Macaca mulatta: one gene and its partner. The protein of the gene in region 2 interacts with the protein of the main gene of each other region in a pairwise test. Links are inferred from orthologs where the notes say so. Each region holds a gene or a part of one and is shown on either strand. Other genes may lie near its edges.

Region 1 (7,543 bases), on a different chromosome or scaffold from region 2:
CAGAGGTTTAGAGCCACTCTGAGGATACTTTATCCCTTACTATAGATAATGTTTCCTGCTCTTCCAGTTTGCTTTCAATACCTGGTAAAGGCAAGCCAGCTATATAGTTAACAGCCATCAAATGCCTGGCTTCCTCGTAATTAACCAGAAGCCCTAGTTCCTCTAAAACAGCAAGGATGAGATAAGGTAGTTAATATTCAGTATCTTGTTGCTAAGTTGTAAAGTCATGATAGTAAATGTGGTAAACATTCTATGATGTGAGCTGGAACCAATGAAATTGCTAGTTTAGCTTTTTGACCCTGTTCCTTCTCCCTGGATGTTAATGCAAACACAAGTCCTCTTTGACTAACCCCATCCCTGAGTTTCTCAAAGTGTGCTCTATAGAGCAGTAACACCAGAATCATCAGTAGGTATTCTTATTTTAAAGCCAGGTCTGCACTCGAGACCAACTAACAAAGATTCTCTGTATTTTGATTCACCCAGTAAAAGTCACATTCAACCACAAATGATCTTCCAGTGATTAAACTTGTAAGGAAAAAACAGCAATAGAATTTGTATTTGACTAAATATACAATGTTGTCATCTCTGTCACCTTAAGTACTTTTTTTTTCTATGCAGTTCGTCATATAGAATTTGTAGGACTAAGCAACAGTTTTTTTAGTTTACTACCATTAACCATTTCAACCAGAATTAGTTTTGATCTGCCAGTCTCAATCTACATCTCTAGCATTAGAGCTAAACTTTCCAGTGAAATGACTCTAACAAGACAAGGATACCACACTGGGTATTCAGTGTGCATTAGGGGTTGTGGGAGGAGGAGAGCAGATATTTAATCATGAGTGCTGTGTGCACAGGATAAGGTGTGCTGGGTTCTATGTGATGTTGGGAGGAAATACGGATAAGGACATAGAGGATATATATATTTTGTAATTTGCTATGAGACGGGCATTATTGTATGGGGAAGTTCTGTGCTTACAGAAATTGTCTAGGCTGTGTGGAAAGATGGGTTGGCTTAGGATAGTGACTACCATTGCAGAAACAGGGGAGGCTGGCTGAGGTGGAGCGAATGAGCATTTCAATGTGAAATTATCAGATCAGAAGTGAAGTCCATCTCTTGATGGCAGGATGTGGAGCAAGGTGACAGACACTGAGACTGTTTATGGATTCTTGCATAAACCTGTGTACATGGCTTGAATCTGTACCATTTAGGTACTGTTCATAAGACCTAGAGATTCTTCCACTAACCTCAGGCGCAAGCATCCCGGATGGTTTCAGGACATGGCCAGCTTCTTTGTATAATATGTAAATACTACATAACCAGTGGTGACAACCAGGGCCAAGTGGCCCAGGACAGCCATAATTAGCATGTATTTTCCTAAATAAAGCCTCACCCCATCCTAGCCCACCTCATCAATCAAACCACTTCCAATAGCAAAGGTTGATTTATTATGATGAAGTTTTTAACTTGAAGAATCTCTTCAAACCCATAAGCAAATAGTATCTACTCAAAAGACGGGTTCCCAGGCCTACCACTGATCATCTGTAGAACCTGAGCCTCAGTTTTGTCTATAAAAAGGGGAAAGCAATATTCCTTATCCTGCCTTCAACCATGGAGATTAGCTGACATAATACATATCAAAGTATAGAATAAGGTGTGTTACCATTTACTATGAGTGCCCCGATGCTTAGCAAAATTATATGGGAATATGTACGGATTTATGGGATAATCCTATATGATGGTATAGCCAAGATTCTAAATATGTAGTTTTTAAAAATTTTATTAAAATTCAAAATAGCACCGTAAGACAGGGCAAGAAAAAAAAAATCAAAATAGGCCATTCTTTATTCAAAAACCAATCTACAAATAGGGTAGGCTTGTTAATTTTGCTCTCCTTACCTGTTTGCATTAGGCTTCACCGTGCCCAGAATTGTTATCAGCATGCGAGGCACCACTCCTCCAGGCAAAGGCAGGTTATAAGGCACAGACTGGGAATGAACAAGTACATATGGGAGTCATGTTTCTTTAGGGAAAGAAAACGATGTTGCTGAAGTTCCATTACTATTAATATGTGTGAAAAACACATAACTCTAGTATATGCCATCTGTCCAGACTCTCAGGCCACTTTGCCCAGGGGCCAAAGAGATAAGGCTCCTTACATGTACAAATAATTGAAAAGAAAGCCATCAGTAAGTCTCATTACTATGGCCATCCCAATCTACTCATTCATGTTGGCTATTTTTTGGAAAGGCTTAAGCTAGATCTTGTGATCAACATTAACATTTTTGTATCACTCTTAAGGCCCTGTCATGTCACTTGCTTCACTGTGGTTATTCTGCTTCCTGGGGGCAAGCAGCATATCACATACTGGGCTTGTGGGTTCTCATATGGTCTGTACTCACATGGCTCCAGCAGAGTGCTTTGCACGTGGCAGATACTCAATATTTATAGAATGAACACTGTTAAAACTGAGGTTCATTCCACAAATGTTTATTGACCATCTACATTCAAGGTACTGTGAATATCCCCAAAGCTCTATTTATTTATGGCCTCTTTTCTTTCCCTTTTTAAGGCTTCCCTCTGGGTTTAACTATCACCCCAGCCTTTTCATTTTTTGAGACAAGGTTTCAAAAATCCAGGTCTCTGTTGTTGAGGATGGAGTGCAGTGGTGTGATCATAGCTCACTGCAGCCCCGACCTCTTGGACTCAAGTGATCCTCCTGCCTCAGCCTCCCACAGTGGTGGGATTATAGGCATGAGCCACCACAGCCAGCCTATCCAAATCTTTTCTTTCTAGTCCTGATGTGTATTAGTCCTGTACTTCTTCCCACCTGGATTTGCTGCTAGTGCCTCAAATTCAACAAGTGTGAACTAGAATGGTCTTCCCTCCCCCTCCCCCATCAGTTCCCCTTCATGAGTTCCCAGTTTGGGCTAAAGCTTTGCTGATGGCTCTAATTGCTCAGCCTTGAAAAGTCAGTCTTCTATGTCTTCTAAGACATAATCAGTAGGTTCTGGGGGTTCTTCCTCTGTCATCTCTCTTACATCTGCCTGTTCCTTTCCACAGCCTTCATGTCCCCCTCTCTCTGCAACTGACTAACCATCTCTGGTATAGGCCCATCTCAATGCCACCCACTCCCCCAAGTCTTTCTACTCTGAACCGACCTAAAAGGAGACAATGCTATCTTGTGCCATCTTCTGCATAGTTCTGAAATGGTCTAATCCCACACTGGTACTTAGCTCTTTCCTCATATTTATTATATGTTTTATCATCTAACTAGACTATAAATCTGGAAAGGAAGGATCCTGTGGCTGAGATGTATCTGGATCCCCCACGGAGTTATGTTTTACATTTAGAATTCACTTGCTAAGACATATTTTAATTTGCATGAAAATTCAACCCTTAGATCACAAAATTATCTTTAGAAGGTTTCTCAAAACCAGATTACCCTGGTTCCTCTACCTGTTTGCTCAATGACCCTGGACAAATTATATCACTTCTGTATTGCCCCATTTCCCCACATGTGAAATGGGGTTATTAACAGTATCGTATAGGGTGGTAATGGGGTTAAATTAGATCATCCAGGTAGATGCATATTATTGACATGTACTCAGTAAGTGTTAATAATAACCAAAATGTTCTCCATTACTACAATTTTGGTTTATATTAATAAGCAGCTTTATCAGTGCCTTCAAAATATTCATTACCTTCTGTTTATACTAACCACACACAATAAGCTCAACATGAACACTTAATTTTTCGATTCTACCAACATATGCCCATGGCTGGCCCTTGAGAAGTGGCTGTCACAGCAGGTTTAAAGCTCAGGGTCTCCCTGAAGCCCTCTGCATGCCAAGTACATGAAAGGAGGAATGCTATCTCACCAGTGGCCCAGCAGGGGCGCCATAGGGGCCAGTGGCAGGGTAGGCTCCAGGAGCACTTGGCTGTCCAGGAGATGGGTAGGCTCCAGCGCCACTGGGTGGCCCTGGGTAGACTCCAGATGCTCCGGAATAAGCTCCAGGTGCTCCAGGGTAGGCGCCTGGAGGTGCCTGTCCAGGATAAACCCCTGGGGGTGCCTGCCCGGGGTAGGCCCCAGGATAGGAGGCCCCTGGGTAGCCCCCTGCCCCAGCAGGCTGGTTCCCCCATGGGCCAGGCCATCCTTGAGGGTTTGGGTTTCCAGACCCAGATAAGGCATCATGGAGCTGTAAAGAAAGACATAAACAATTACAGGACAGAAAGCATTCTCAAAAGCAGAATTTTCAGGGAAATAGGAATATGTGATCTAAGAAGGAGAGGAATATAGCAAAGGCATTACATGCATATCATTATACTTTTTCCACTTGTTAATAGTTTTGAGTGTCTAAGACTAAAATTAGACGTTGGGGTTACATATGCTTTTTCACTTTGTTCTTGCCTCCCAAGGTCTCAAATCAGGGAGGGCTGCATTTTCATAATTAGCCCAAGTCAGGAGCTAGCGCTCCTCTATTTACAGCACATATTTTTTAATCACTGTGAGAAAAACAATCACAAACATCAGAATGCCCAGACTGTACCGCGCTTCCCGCTACTCAGAGGATTTCTCAGCTCCTGCCAGCAGAGTCCACTCCCTTCCGCCCTGGGCCTTTTGGTGAAAGGGTTACTGTAAGTGAGTCCCAGGCCTTGCTCTGCCTGGCTTTCTTCCCAAATCTGCTGCTGGAAAAACAAGGCTCCAGCTCACAAGCCCTCGTTGGACAAATGAGTCTAGGGGAAGCCACACGGTGGGAGAGTGAAAAGGGAAAGTCATGGTAAAAACAAAACCCCCAACCCTCAACCATGTGGAGTTGATCGAGGGTAAGAAACAGGCATAAAACACTTACCGAAAAATTGTCTGCCATTTTCCTGAGAGAAAGAAAGAGACAAAGGTTATCATTTGATCCTGAAAGCTTTCACCGATTTCCATTAAATTGAACCTCACCACTAGTTCATTGTGCAGTTCTAGTCAATCTCTAGGCATTATGCCTAAGTCAGTAGTGTGGGACCACACAACATCTCCTCAAGGGGCAGGGATGCTTTCCAGCTAGATTGTGAGTTAAATATAACTCACAAGTTTAAACTTCCATCACACTAGCCTGTGCTCTGAATCCTGAGACCAAGAGGCCATACAATGCATGAGGGAGGAGGAGGCAGGGAGGAAGAAAAGGTCCTGTCCCTTTTCCAGGTGAAAAATGTAAACAGTCATGGTTTCTCTTTGGTTCTTCTTCACCTTCCTTCCTTACTCCTTATAAAGGGTTTGGTGTGTTCATCTTGCCCATCTGCCCTCTGTCCCCACTAACTGCCCCATCCCCTCCTCTGGGTTTTTGAAGATCAGCAGTGATTGATTCCTACTGAGACAGGAAAGACAATGACCTCCAGACATAGTTGCTGCCCTGTTATTTATTCCTCTATTTGCACACACTTATGCCTGCTCTTGGTCAGGCACTGCGCAGGCTCTTGTCTAGGTGCGAAGATGAATAGGCCATGATCTGCATGGTCAAAGGGGCCATGGGATCTAAAACTCAAAACGATTGAGCCCACAGAGGTATAGAGTAGAAGGATGGTTACCAGAGGCTGGGAAAGGTAGTGGGGGTGGGTGAGTGGGAGGGCGGTGAGGATAGTTAATGGGTGACAAAAATAGTTATAATGAATGAATAAGGCCTGATATTTGACAGCACAACAGGGTGACTATAGTCAATAATTTCATTGTACATTTGAACATAACTAAAAGTATACTTGGATTGTTTGTAACACAAATAAATGAGAATATGAATGCCCCATTTTCCATGATGTGATTATCATGCACTACATACCTGTGTCAAAACATCTTTATGTAGCCCATAAATATATATACCTGCTATGTACCCATAAAGATTAAGAATTTTAAAAAAAGCCAAAGGGCCCACAGTCCAGCAAGGCAGATGAGATGCATCCATGGAAATGTGAAATAACAAGTCACGAATGCTATGAGTTAGAATGTGTGCTGTAGGAATTCAAACGCAGAAAGCTTACTTCTAAGAAGGAAAGGAAAAGTGCTGTTGGAGCTAAGCCTCAAAGGGCAGCTGAAGTTTGTATGTGCTTTCTTTTTTTAAAGGTACTTGTTATTCCAAATAAAATCTTTGGCAGTACAACAAACTAAGGTGAAAAAATTCAGGCAACGTGAAAGAAAAAAATATTTGGGTGTAAGATGCTACCAAAGAGGGTTTGCCTTGCCCAAAGCTGCCACAAGGGGTGGTCTGGAGACATCAATCCTGCTTTCTCCTGTTCCTTCCCATGTCAAGGCTCCTAAAGCACAAGATGCTTCACAGCTGTTGCAGGTGCTCCAGCTGTGAGGGGAGGAGGGCAGTTGGGCCCCTGAGGCATGGGTGAGTTCTTCCTAAGCTCAGGATCACCTGTGCCATGGCCTGAATTACGTAGACCTTGAAACAACCAGAATATCCTTGATTGCCTACCTGTGATATTTACTCAATCACTTTTAGAAATGACATCGCCCCAAGGGATTCAATAAATGTCCACTACTTGATTCAAATGCAAGATATTGGCTGGGCGTGGCTCATGCCTGTAATCCCCAGCACGTTGGGAGGCTAAGGTGGGCGGATTGCTTGAGCCCAAGAGTTCAAGACTAGCCTGGACAATATGGCAAAACCCTGTCTCTATGAAAAATACAAAAATTAGCCAGGTGTGGTGGTGCAGCCTGTGGTCCCAGCTACTTGAGGGGCTGAGGTGAGAAGATCATTTCAGCCTAGGAGGTCAAGGCTGCACTGAGCTGTGATTGCACCACTGCACTCCAGCCTGGGTGACAAAGCGAGACCCCGTCTCAAAAAAAGAAAGAAAGAAAAGCACAAAATATTACATTTTTGTGGTAAAACTCAAACAGGCAGAGCTCCTCCTAGAGCTTAACATGCTTCATTTATACACACTGGATATTTTATACAGGTTGAGTATCCCTTATTTGAAATAGGACCAGAAGTGTTTCTGATTTCCTTTTTTTTTTTTTTTAGATTTTGGAATATGTCCATATACCCAGTTAGGCATCCCTAATCTGAAGAGCCAAAATCCAAGACCTCCAGTGAGCATTTCTTTAGAGCATTACCTCTGAGCATCATGCAGACATGCAAAAAGTTTGGGATTTTGGAGCATTTCAGATTTCTGCTCTGGGGATGCTCATCCTGTACTATACTGCTATTATTTATATTATAGTCAGACATTACCTTTGACTAAAATATTTTTGCACCTTTTTTTTTTTTTTTTTTTTTTTGAGACAGGGTCTTGTTCTGTTGCACAGGCTGGAGTGCAGTGACATGATTTCAGGGCTCACTGCAGCCTCCACCTCCCAAGCTCATGTGATCCTCCCACCTCAGCCTCCCAAGTAACTGGGACTACAGGCACACAACACCACACCCAGCTGAGTTATTTTTTTCGTAGACACCAGGTCTCACTATGTTGCCCAGGCTGGTCTCAAACTCCTGGGTTCAAGTGATCTTCCCACCTCAGCCTCCCACCGTGCTGGGATTACAGGCATGAGCCACCACATCC
Region 2 (10,687 bases):
CCAAGTAGCTGGGATTATAGGCACCTGCCACCATGCCCAGCTGATTTTTATATTTTTAGTAGAGACGGGGTTTCACCATGTTGGCCAGACTGGTCTCGAACTCCTGACCTCAGGTGATCCGCTCACCTCGGCTTCCTAAAGTGCTAGGATTACAGGTGTGAGCCACTGCGCCCAGCCATGGATTTTCTAATAAAATTAGAAGCTAGCTGTAAAATATAAGAAGATCTCAGGCATTTATTTCATAGAACTCTTTCCAGAGAAGTTATGGATGCAGTATAGCCAACTCAAAACACTCCCTCTTCCCTGTTCCTCCTCAAGCCCTGCACTCAATGCCCAAACCCATGGGTTCCACCTCAGAAACATCTGTTAAGTCTACTCCTTCCTCTAGCCCCATGTCCCCAACTGCAGCCTCATTTCCTGCTTTCAGGAACTCAGGTTCAGGAGCTCCTTTCATCGTACACTTTTTGCAACTTGGCACCTTTGTAAAACTACTGCTTCTGCCTGGAATCCATTGGGTTAAGAGCAGAGACTCAGAAGCCAGGCTGTCTTGAGCTCCAATTCTGACTGAACCTCTGCCTCCCGGATTCAAGCGATTCTCCTGCCTCAGCCTCCCGAGTAGCTAGGATTACAGGCATGAGCCACCACGCGCGGCTAATTTTGTATTTTTATAGAGATGGGGTTTCTCCATGTTGGCCAGGCTGGTGGTCTGGAACTCCTGGCCTCGTGCTCTGCCTGCCTCAGCCTCCCAAAGTGCTGGGATTACAGGCGTGAGCCACCACGCCTGGCCCACAGTTTCTTAAATATACTGATTTGTAGGGACACATGTAAAAAGTCTTAGCTGAGCACGGTCGCTCATGCCTGTAATCCCAGCACTTTGGGAGGCTAAGGCAGGTGGATCACCTGAGGTCAGGAGTTTGAGACCAGCCTGACTGACCAACATGTTGAAACCCTGTCCCTACTAAAAATACAAAATTAGCCGGGCATGGTGGCAGGTGCCTGTAGTCGCAGCTACTTGGGAGGCTGAGGCAGGAAAATCACTTGAACCTGGGGGGTGGAGGTTACAATTGCGCCACTGCGCTCCAACCTGCGCAATAACAGCGAAACTCCATCTCAAAATAAATAAATACATAAATAAAAATAAAAAGTTTTAGGAAAAAAATTTTTAAAAAATAAGTATTATTCAATAAATTTGGGGTAAAGCCCCATATTACTCTCTCATAGCTGATGGGCAGCCAGAGTTAAAAAAACATAAGCTAAAGGCCTATATCCATTGACCCAAGGGAAGACAATAAAGATTCATGCCACTCTGCCTGACCCAATTTTGAAGAGTTCTCCCACTTAAAAAACATAGGAATCACATGGTGTCTTCCTCAGTGAAGCTCTGGTTCCCTTCTATAAAATTGATACACTTTAAAGGGTCTGTGGAACATTAGCAAAAGTTGTAGAATGTGCCATACCCAGCCAAGGTGATAGCACAGGTGAACAGAGACCAGGAGAAATATCTTTATTTGAATAGGACCTGAGACAGCATATTGGGCTAAGGAGGAAAGGTAAGGTTCCAAAATGGCAGTCAAAGCTGATCGACCAAAGGGACTCTACTTCCCAGCAACTTTGCAGTTAGTGCAACCAACAAAAGGCCTGCTGGGGAATGTATTTGCCACTAAATTCCCCAAGTATGGCAACATTACAAAAAAGATAGAGGTTTTTCATCATAATTAAATTTCCGCAAACCTCCCCAATCACAAGTATTATAAGCGGAAGTAAAAAAATCACATTTTACAGATCTCAAACTTGTCTTCAACATTTAGTTCATCATTTTCAAAAAATAGCTCCCCTGCCTAATTCATTAGCTATATGATCTATCCAAGCAGCAACAAGATGGCCAGGCCATGGCAATCCTCTTCCCATTTCCCCTAGCCACTCAGGGCTCAACAGCAGGGTGAGGCTCAGGTGGAGGTAGGGGGTGGGGAGCACAAGGGCTACTTTCCCCCAGTACAACATGGCATCTGAAGCTTGATGGGAGAGCAGAACTGGTGAGACTTGAGGGAAGGGTCCAGGGCCTGTATTCAGTCAGAATCACTGCTGGAAGAGGAGGAGGAAGAGGAGGAGGAATGCTGCAAGGGGAAAGGGGAAAGAGGAAAGAAGCATCAGATCCAAATGACCTTTCATCACTCCGTGGGCCATTCTTTGGTGCCCTACCCCTCTACCCAAGTATCCCTTGCTTCCCTAAGAAGGTCAGGAGTCTTGAACTGACTGTACCTAAACAAAAGCAAGGGTTTCCTTCAGCAGTGAGCACACAGGAATGGATTAAACCATCCTAAATTATCACACAGAATTTTAAAAATTTAACATATTGCCTTTGGAGCAAATTTCCAACTTTCTTTACCTGAATCGATGCCTAGGCAAGGAATAAATTACAGGCCCAAGCATAGTATGGTGCCAGGAAACAGCAGTTACCTTATAAATGCTTATTTATTAGCTGCATGCAAAGTCCTATGATTTTAAGAAATTGGATTCTACAAATCTAAGAAGACAGTAGAAACAGCAGTTGTGTGTGCACGTATCTCTACTTTTTCCAAAGCACAATAGGAAAAAGTGGGGAAGATGTAAGAAAAGGCTGGGAGTTCTATTAAATGTTCCTTAAGCACATACTCCCAGCAATGCTACAGTTATTAAATAAAAACATTTTTCAGTCTCTCCAGGGTAATTTCTCCCCCTTCTTCCCCACTAAATCTCAATTCTCTTCAGACTTCTTTTTTTTTTTCAGATGGAGTCTCACCCTGTCGCCCAGGCTGGAGTGCAATGGCATGATCTCAGCTCACTGCAACCTCCACCTCCTGGGTTTAAGAGATTCTCTGCTGGGTGCGGTGGCTCATGCCTATAATCCCAGCACTTTGGGAGGCCGAGGTGGGAGGATCACAAGGTCAGGAGATCGAGACCACGGGTGAAACCCCGTCTCTACTAAAAATACAAAAAATAGCCGGGCGCGGTGGCTCAAGCCTGTAATCCCAGCACTTTGGGAGGCCGAGACGGGTGGATCACGAGGTCAGGAGATCGAGACCATCCTGGCTAACACGGTGAAACCCCATCTCTACTAAAAAATACAAAAAAGTAGCCGGGTGAGTTGGCGGGCGCCTGTAGTCCCAGCTACTCGGGAGGCTGAGGCAGGAGAATGGCGTAAATCCGGGAGGCGGAGCTTGCAGTGAGCTGAGATCCGGCCACTGCACTCCAGCCCGGGCGACAGAGCGAGACTCCGTCTCAAAAAAAACAAAAAAAAACAAAAACAAAACAAAACAAAAAAAAATTAGGCGCTGTAGCGGGTGCCTGTAGTCCCAGCTAATTGGTGGGGGGTGCTGAGGCAGGAGAATGGCGTGAACTCTGGAGGCGGAGCTTGCAGTGAGCCGAGATTGCACCACTGCACTCCAGCGTGGGGGACAGAGCGAGACTCCGTCTCAAAAAAAAAAAAAAAAGAGATTCTCCCGCCTCAGTCTCCGGAGTACCTGGGATTACAGGCACACAGCACCATGCCCAGATAATTTTTTGTATCTTTAGTAGACATGTTTCGCCATTTGGCTAGGCTGGTTTCGAACTCCTGACCTCGTGATCTGCCTGCCCTGGACTCCCAAAGTGCTGGGATTACAGGTGTGGACCACAGTGCCTGGCCTTCTCTTCAGACTTCTATCAAATACCCAGAATCAGGAATTAGAATCCACAAGGCAAATAAATTTACTGGGCAGTTAAATGTAAATGGAGGCCTCATCAAGATGCAGATTGGTTTAATCCTTCCAGAGTTGACCTCAGAGTTGCTTTTATCCTTGCACTTTTTTTTTTGAGATGGAGTCTTGTCTGTCATCGAGGCTGGAGTGCAGTGGTGAGATCTGGGCTCACTGCAACCTCCGCCTCCCGGGTTCAAGCAATTCGCCTGCCTCAGCCTCCTGAGTAGCTGGGATTACAGGCATGCGCCACCACACCCAGCTAATAATTCCCAAGTGCTGGGATTACAGGCATGATCCTTACTAATTTTTAACAGTCCTCTAAAACAAAGATACTCAGCCTTGGGGCTGAGTATAAAACCTCCTTAGTCCTAGGCTGTTAGAGGCTGAGTCACTGACTGCTCTTGTCCTCACTTTTTCTGCTGGATGATAGGGCAAAGGGCCCATGTAATTAACACAAGGCCCTAAGAACACTGAAAGAGAGAAAGAACTCCAGGAACTAGGGCCATATTATTATTCTGTTAATTATTATAAGACTTTGCTTTGTCAAAGGAATGACTTTAATTGATGTTTTGATAATGTCAGTGAGGGGGTCCAACTTGCTAGAATATGCACCTGCGGGGAGGGGAGCAAAAGTTCTGGGAGAGAGTAGGGCAGAAAAGATTTGGCTTTTGATTCTAAAAATCTATTTTAAGGCTCACCCTAGCTCCCCCCAGATAGGAGAAGCCTGATGTTTCTTTTCAAGATAATCAGATTCTTCCCAGTAGCAATCTTTTACAAAAAGGAAGAATCATCGACCAGAGTGACACAATCGTCATCCCCCACGTCCACAGAATGTGAATCCCCCTCACCCAACCCCTGCCTACCTAGTCCCTCTGAGGGGGCACCCCTTCCCTAGCCAGGCTCCAGAGGGTACTGACCTTGCCACGCTTGTGGTGCTTGTGGTGCTTGTTCATCTTTTTATGAGCTTTCTTCATTTTCTTCTGCATCTTCTTGTCCACTATCACTGCTGGTCCGACCATGCCAGGAGCCAAGGGATTCACAGGAGGGATTCCAGGGGCAGGAGGTGGGTATGGAGGAGGGTAGGGACCCAAGGGTTGGCATCCTGGATACCCTGGCTGTGGCACAGGATGAGGGGGCCCACCTGGGGGGAAAGCTGGATTGCCCTGGGGAGCTCCTGGGGGAGGAGGACAGGGGCCTGAGGGAAAGAGTGGGTTAATAGGTGGTGGGTGGGCAGGATTGGAACCTCCAGGGCACCCGATGTTGGGGGTATATGGATTTGGCCCTGGCTGCCCTGGGGGAAGAAGCAGATTATAAACATTAGTATTCCCCAGAGTCTCCGACAACAAACAACAAAAAGAAAGAGATTCTTTCTCACCCAATACTTAAAGGGAAATGGAAAAGTGACAAAGGAGAATAGAAGGTAGGGGAGACAAACCTGAGTTGAGGATAAAAGGGGAATGTCCCCGTAAGGGCTGGAGAGAGGAGGGAGACAGTGAACTCTGAGGAAGACAAAAGTACTGGTCAGGCCGGTGGGGCGTGGTGGCTCAAGCCTGTAATCCCAGCAGTTTGGGAGGCCGAGGTGGACAGATCACATGAGGCCAGGAGTTCAAGACCAGCCTGGCCAACATGGTGAAACCCCGTCTCTACTAAAAATACAAAAAGTAGTAGGGCGTGATGGCGCACGCCTGTAATCTCAGCTACTCCAGAGGCTGAAACAGGAGAATCGCTTGAACCCAGGAGGCGGAGGTTGCAGTGAGCCGAGATCGCGCCACTGCACTCCAGCCTGGGCGACAGAGACTCCGTCTCAAAAAATAAATAAATAAAATAAAATAAAAAAGCACTGGTCAGCTGTAGACTAAGGACTTTGCTTTTGCGGGTGTGGCGGGTCGGGGATGGGGCAGCTGATAGAGAAACTTCCTGTTACGCAGAGTCCATCAGAAAAAGGGTTAGGGGTCGTACAGAACCCCCAAACACCTACCGGCATTGGGATTCCACATGTTTAGGTGTGTCCTCCAGCCTGAGGAGAAAGAAATGAGGCAAAAAAGATGACAGTCTAGAGGTAGGAAGTGGACTTAGCACCGGAGCCCAGCCCTAACGTCTTCCACCCCACAGTAGGCTCTCCCACCTGGAGAACTACCACGACTTCCACATAAGACACATCTCTTTTCTGGCTGGGCGCGGTGGCTCACGCTTGTAATCCCAGCACTTTGGGAGGCCAAGGCGGGTGGATCACGAGGTCAGGAATTCGACACCAGCCTGGCCAACATCGTTAAACCCCGTCTCTACTAAAAATCTAAAAATTAGCCGGGCGCGGTGGCGGGCGCCTGTAATCCCAGTTACTCGGGAGGCTGAGGCAGGAGAATCGCTTGAACCTGGGAGGCGGAAGTTACAGTGAGCTGAGATCGCGCCACTGCACTCTAGCCTGGGCAACAGAGCGAGACACCGCCTCGAAGAAAAAAAAAAAAAGAAAGAAATGTCTCTTTCCACTTGTTTCTTCGCCCTCAATACCTACTTGGTTCCTAACACAGGAATCTAGTTCCCAGGGCCCCTCCACCTAGGTTGAAGCGTCTAACTCTTCGCAAGAGGGCATAGCCCGCGAGTCTCGGCACCCCCATCATTCATCCCCCTTTCCTGGAACTGAGTCCGGAGGCCTTTAACCACCCACAGAGTAAGAAAGGATCTCAAACAACTTTCTCCCTGGGGAGGACCTCACCTCAGGCTAAGAAAAGGATACGCCTGGAGGCGAAGAAGGAAGTTGCTCAAGAACCTCAAATACTTAAATAAATGGACACAGCCCAATTCCTCCAAAAAAGAAAAAAGGCAAATGAAGATCCTAGCCCCAAGCTGCGAAGGGGCTCTTAACCCAGCAATGGGAAAAGGAATAAACCCATGGAATTCAGATACCACGTCACCTTTCCACCGCCGCCTGGACTTGATGCGTTCTTCGCAGTCTCGGCTCTTACTTCCTAGTCACACCTAGTCACCCAGACCCCGTGCTTCGGTACCCGCCTCTGCTACTGCCTAATTGGTAATTATGTGGCCACTCGGCTGATGATTGGACAACAAACTAATCAATCACTCTGGTCCAACTGAGGAGGAAACGGTTGCTCTAGCTGCAGACCGGAGCCCTTTACGACTAGGCAAGTACTGAGAAGCCGGAAATCTCCTGGGGGCGGAGCTAGGCGGAGAGCGCTAGAGGGGGCGGGGCCAGCTGCTGGGCAAAGTCCTAGAGACACCGAGAAGAAACTCTGCCCTTGCTCTCTGCTAGTCATGGTTCACTGGGTGCAATACCTTGTAAAGTGAATACACTATGGTAAGTGTTGTAATACAGATATAGACAGAGTTCTCGGCAAGGGCAGAGGAGCTGCTGAGTCCTAGCCCCAAGCCTCAATGTTCTCGGCTCCCTCTTACACTCGCAAGGGAAGCAAACAAACATTCTTGCGGAAAATACAGAGATTTCATAATCTCTCCCAGGATTCCCTCTCTCAATTGCATAGCTCCGCCATCTGTCAAGAAGCCTAAACCAGAAACCAAGGAGGTCTTCCGTGATCCCTCTGTCTCCTTCACCTCCCTTACCCCAAATTACCAGTTTTGTCTCACAAATACATCTGGAATCTCTCCACTTCTCTCCGTCTTCCCTGGTCTAAACCTCCCATCATCTCTCGCCTGGATTCATTTCTCCCCTGAATTGCTACAATGGCCTCTTTTTTTTTTTTTTTTTTTTTTTTTTTTTTGAGACGGAGTCTCGCTCTGTTGCCAGGCTGGAGTGCAGTGGTGCGACCTCAGCTCACTGCAACCTCCGCTTCCCGCGTTCAAGCGATTCTTCTGCCTCAGCCTCCCGAGTAGCTGGGACTACAGGCGCGGCTAATTTTTGTATTTCTTAGTAGAGATGGGGTTTCACCATGTTGGCCAGGATGGTCTCCATCTCTTGACTTCGTGATCTGCCTGCCTCGGCCTCTCAAAGTGCTGGGATTACAGGCGTGAGCCACCGCGCCCAGACTTTTTTTTTTTTTTTTTAAAGAAAACAATACAAGTGGCCAGGTACATTGGCTCATGCCTGTAATCCAAGCACTTTGGGAAGCCGAGGCGGGCGGATCACGAGGTCAGGAGTTCGAGACCAGCCTGGCCAATATGGTAAAACCCCGTTTCTACTAAAAATACAAAAATTAGCCGGGCGTGGTGACATGTGCCTGTGATCCCAGCCACTTGGGAGGCTGAGGCAGGAGAATCGCTGAACCCGGGAGGCGGAGGTTGCAGTGAGCCGAAATCGTGCCACTGCACTCCAACCTGGGTAATAGAGTGAGACTCCGTCTCAAAAATAATAATAATAAACAACGACAACAAAAAAATCACACACAATACAATTAACAAACTTGACCTGATGAACATGCATTGAACCATGCTCTCAAAACTTAATGACTGCTAATTCTCCTTAAGCATGCTTAGAGCATTTATAAAAATTGGTCACATTCTAAGTTAAGCATGTCTCAACTGATGCAATTCAATTTTGAAAGAACTGTTCAATACATATTCCCTGACCACGATGTAAAATATAAGCAAACATACAGCTAGATTTTTTTTTTAGAAAAAAAAATTGTTTAACTGTCATCCAGGCTGGGCACAGTGGTTTATGCATGTAATCCCAGCACTTTGGGAGGCCGTGGCTGGAGGATCACTTGAGGTCAGGAGTTCAGGACCAGAATGGGCAACTTAGTAAGACATCATCTCTACAAAAATAAAAAATTAAGGCCGGGCGCGGTGGCTCAAGCCTGTAATCCCAGCACTTTGGGAGGCCGAGATGGGCGGATCACAAGGTCAGGAGATCGAGACCATCCTGGCTAACATGGTGAAACCCCGTCTCTACTAAAAATACAAAAAAACTAGCCGGGCGAGGTGGCGGGCGCCTGTAGTCCCAGCTACTCGGGAGGCTGAGGCAGGAGAATGGCGTAAACCCGGGAGGCGGAGCTTGCAGTGAGCTGAGATCCGGCCACTGCACTCCAGCCTGGGCGACAGAGCGAGACTCCGTCTCAAAAAAAATAAAAATAAAAATAAAAATAAATAAATAATAAATAAAAAATAAAAATTAGCCGAGAGTGGTGGTGCACGCCTGTAGTCCCAGCTACTCAGGAGGGTAAGGTGGGAGGATCACTTGAGCCTGGGAGGCAGAGGTTGCAGTGAGCCCAAATCACACCACTGCACTCCAGCCTGGGTGACAGAGCAAGATTCAATCTCTAAATAAATAAATAAATTGCCTTAAAATAACAACGGAAAGAATAAGCCATGATGGAAATTAAATACTTAGAAATAAGTAGGTGGGCACGGTGACTCATGCCTATAATCCCAGCACTTTGGGAGGCCGAGGTGGGTGGATCATGAGGTCAGGATTTTGAGACCATCCTGGCCAACATGGTGAACACCTGTCTCTACTAAAAATACAAAAATTAGCTGGGTGTGATGGCACACGCTGTAATCCCAACTGCTCAGGAGGCTGATACAGTAGAATCACTTGAACCCGGGAGGCAGAGATGGCAGTGAGCTGAGATGGTGCCACTGCACTCCAGACTGGCAACAGAGCAAGACTCCGTCTCAAAAAAAAAAAAAAAAAAAAAAAGGAAGGAAGGAAGGAAGGAAGGAAGAAAGAAGCAGGCCGGGTGTGGTGGCTCACGCCAGTAATCCCAACACTTTAGGAGGCTGAGGCAGACAGATTCCTTGAGTCCAGGAGTTCAAGACCAGCGTGGGCCACAGGGGAAACCCTGTCTCTAATACAAATACAAAAATTAGCCGGGCATAAAAATACAAAAATTAGCCGGGTGTGGTGGCTCACACCCAGTTGTCCCGGCTACTCAGGGCTGGGGTGGGAGAATCACTTGAGCCTGAGAGGTGGAGGTTGTGATGAGCCAAGATCATGCCACTGCACTCCAGCATGGGCAAAAGAGCACAAAAAGAAATAAGCCATAATGAAAATATTAGATCCAAAATTTGTGGGATATAGGCAGAACATGGTAGCTCATGCCTGTAATCCCAGCATTTTGGGAGGCCGAGGCAGGTGGATCACATGAGGCCAGGAGTTCGAGACCAGCCTGGCCAGCATAGCAAAACCCCGTCTCTACTAAATATACAAAAAAATTAGGCCAGGCGGGGTGGCTCACGCCTGTAATCCTAGCACTATGGGAGGCTGAGGCAAGTGGATCACAAGGTCAGGAATTCAAGACCAGCCTGGCCAACATGGTGAAATCCCATCTCTACTAAAAATACAAAAAATTGGCTGGGCACGGTGGCTCACGCCTGTAATCCCAGCACTTTGGGAGGGCAAGGCGGGCGGATCACGAGGTCAGGAGATCGAGACGATCCTGGCTAACACGGTGAAACCCCATCTCTACTAAAAATACAAAAAAAATTCGACGGGCGTGGTGATGGGCACCTGTAGTCCCAGCTACTCAGGAGGCTGAGGCAGGAGAATGGCGTGAACCTGGGAGGCAGAGCTTGCGGTGAGCCGAGATCGCGCCACTGCACTCTAGCTTGGGCGACAGAGCAAGATTCCATCTCAGAAAAATAAATAAATAAATAAATATATATATATATATATATATATATAGTGTGTGTGTGTATGTGTGTGTGTTTAGTAGAAATGGGGTTTCACCATGTTGGCTAGGGCAGTTTCAAACTCCTGACCTCAAGTGATTCACCCACCTTGGCCTCCCAAAGTGCTAGGATTACAGGCATGAGCCACCAGGCCTGGCCTGTTATTTCTTGACTTTTTAATCATCAGCATTCTGACTGGCATGAGATAGTATCTCATTATGGTTTTGATTTACATTTCTCTGATGTTCAGTGATGATGTGCTTTTTTTCATGTTTGTGGGCTGCATGTCTTCTTTTGAGAAGTGTCTGTTCATGTCCTTTGCCCACTTTTTAATGGGATTTTTTTTTTTTCTTCTAAATTTGTTTGAGTTTATTGTAGATTCTGGATAT

What was found. The genes of interacting proteins can lie anywhere in the genome.
Region 1: the proteins of PRR13 (region 2) and LGALS3 interact in binary tests that used the Homo sapiens proteins (3 or more experiments, as listed by UniProt). The two-hybrid records come from large-scale screens. The link is inferred for Macaca mulatta from reciprocal best matches to the Homo sapiens genes PRR13 and LGALS3.

The regions. Positions count from the first base shown.
Region 1 is NC_133412.1:128,271,088-128,278,630, reverse strand, and holds part of LGALS3 (galectin-3), read right to left. Parts: intron 4,874-7,543; 5' UTR 4,870-4,873; coding exon 4,852-4,869; intron 4,198-4,851; coding exon 3,880-4,197; intron 1,987-3,879; coding exon 1,898-1,986; intron 1-1,897. UniProt on the Homo sapiens protein: Galactose-specific lectin which binds IgE. May mediate with the alpha-3, beta-1 integrin the stimulation by CSPG4 of endothelial cells migration.
Region 2 is NC_133416.1:60,589,080-60,599,766, reverse strand, and holds PRR13 (proline-rich protein 13), read right to left. Parts: upstream 6,724-10,687; 5' UTR 6,629-6,723; exon of another isoform or gene 6,621-6,628; intron 6,519-6,620; exon of another isoform or gene 5,842-6,518; intron 5,734-5,841; 5' UTR 5,714-5,733; coding exon 5,695-5,713; intron 5,216-5,694; coding exon of another isoform or gene 5,152-5,215; intron 5,008-5,151; coding exon 4,634-5,007; intron 2,115-4,633; coding exon 2,067-2,114; 3' UTR 1,518-2,066; downstream 1-1,517. UniProt on the Homo sapiens protein: Negatively regulates TSP1 expression at the level of transcription. This down-regulation was shown to reduce taxane-induced apoptosis.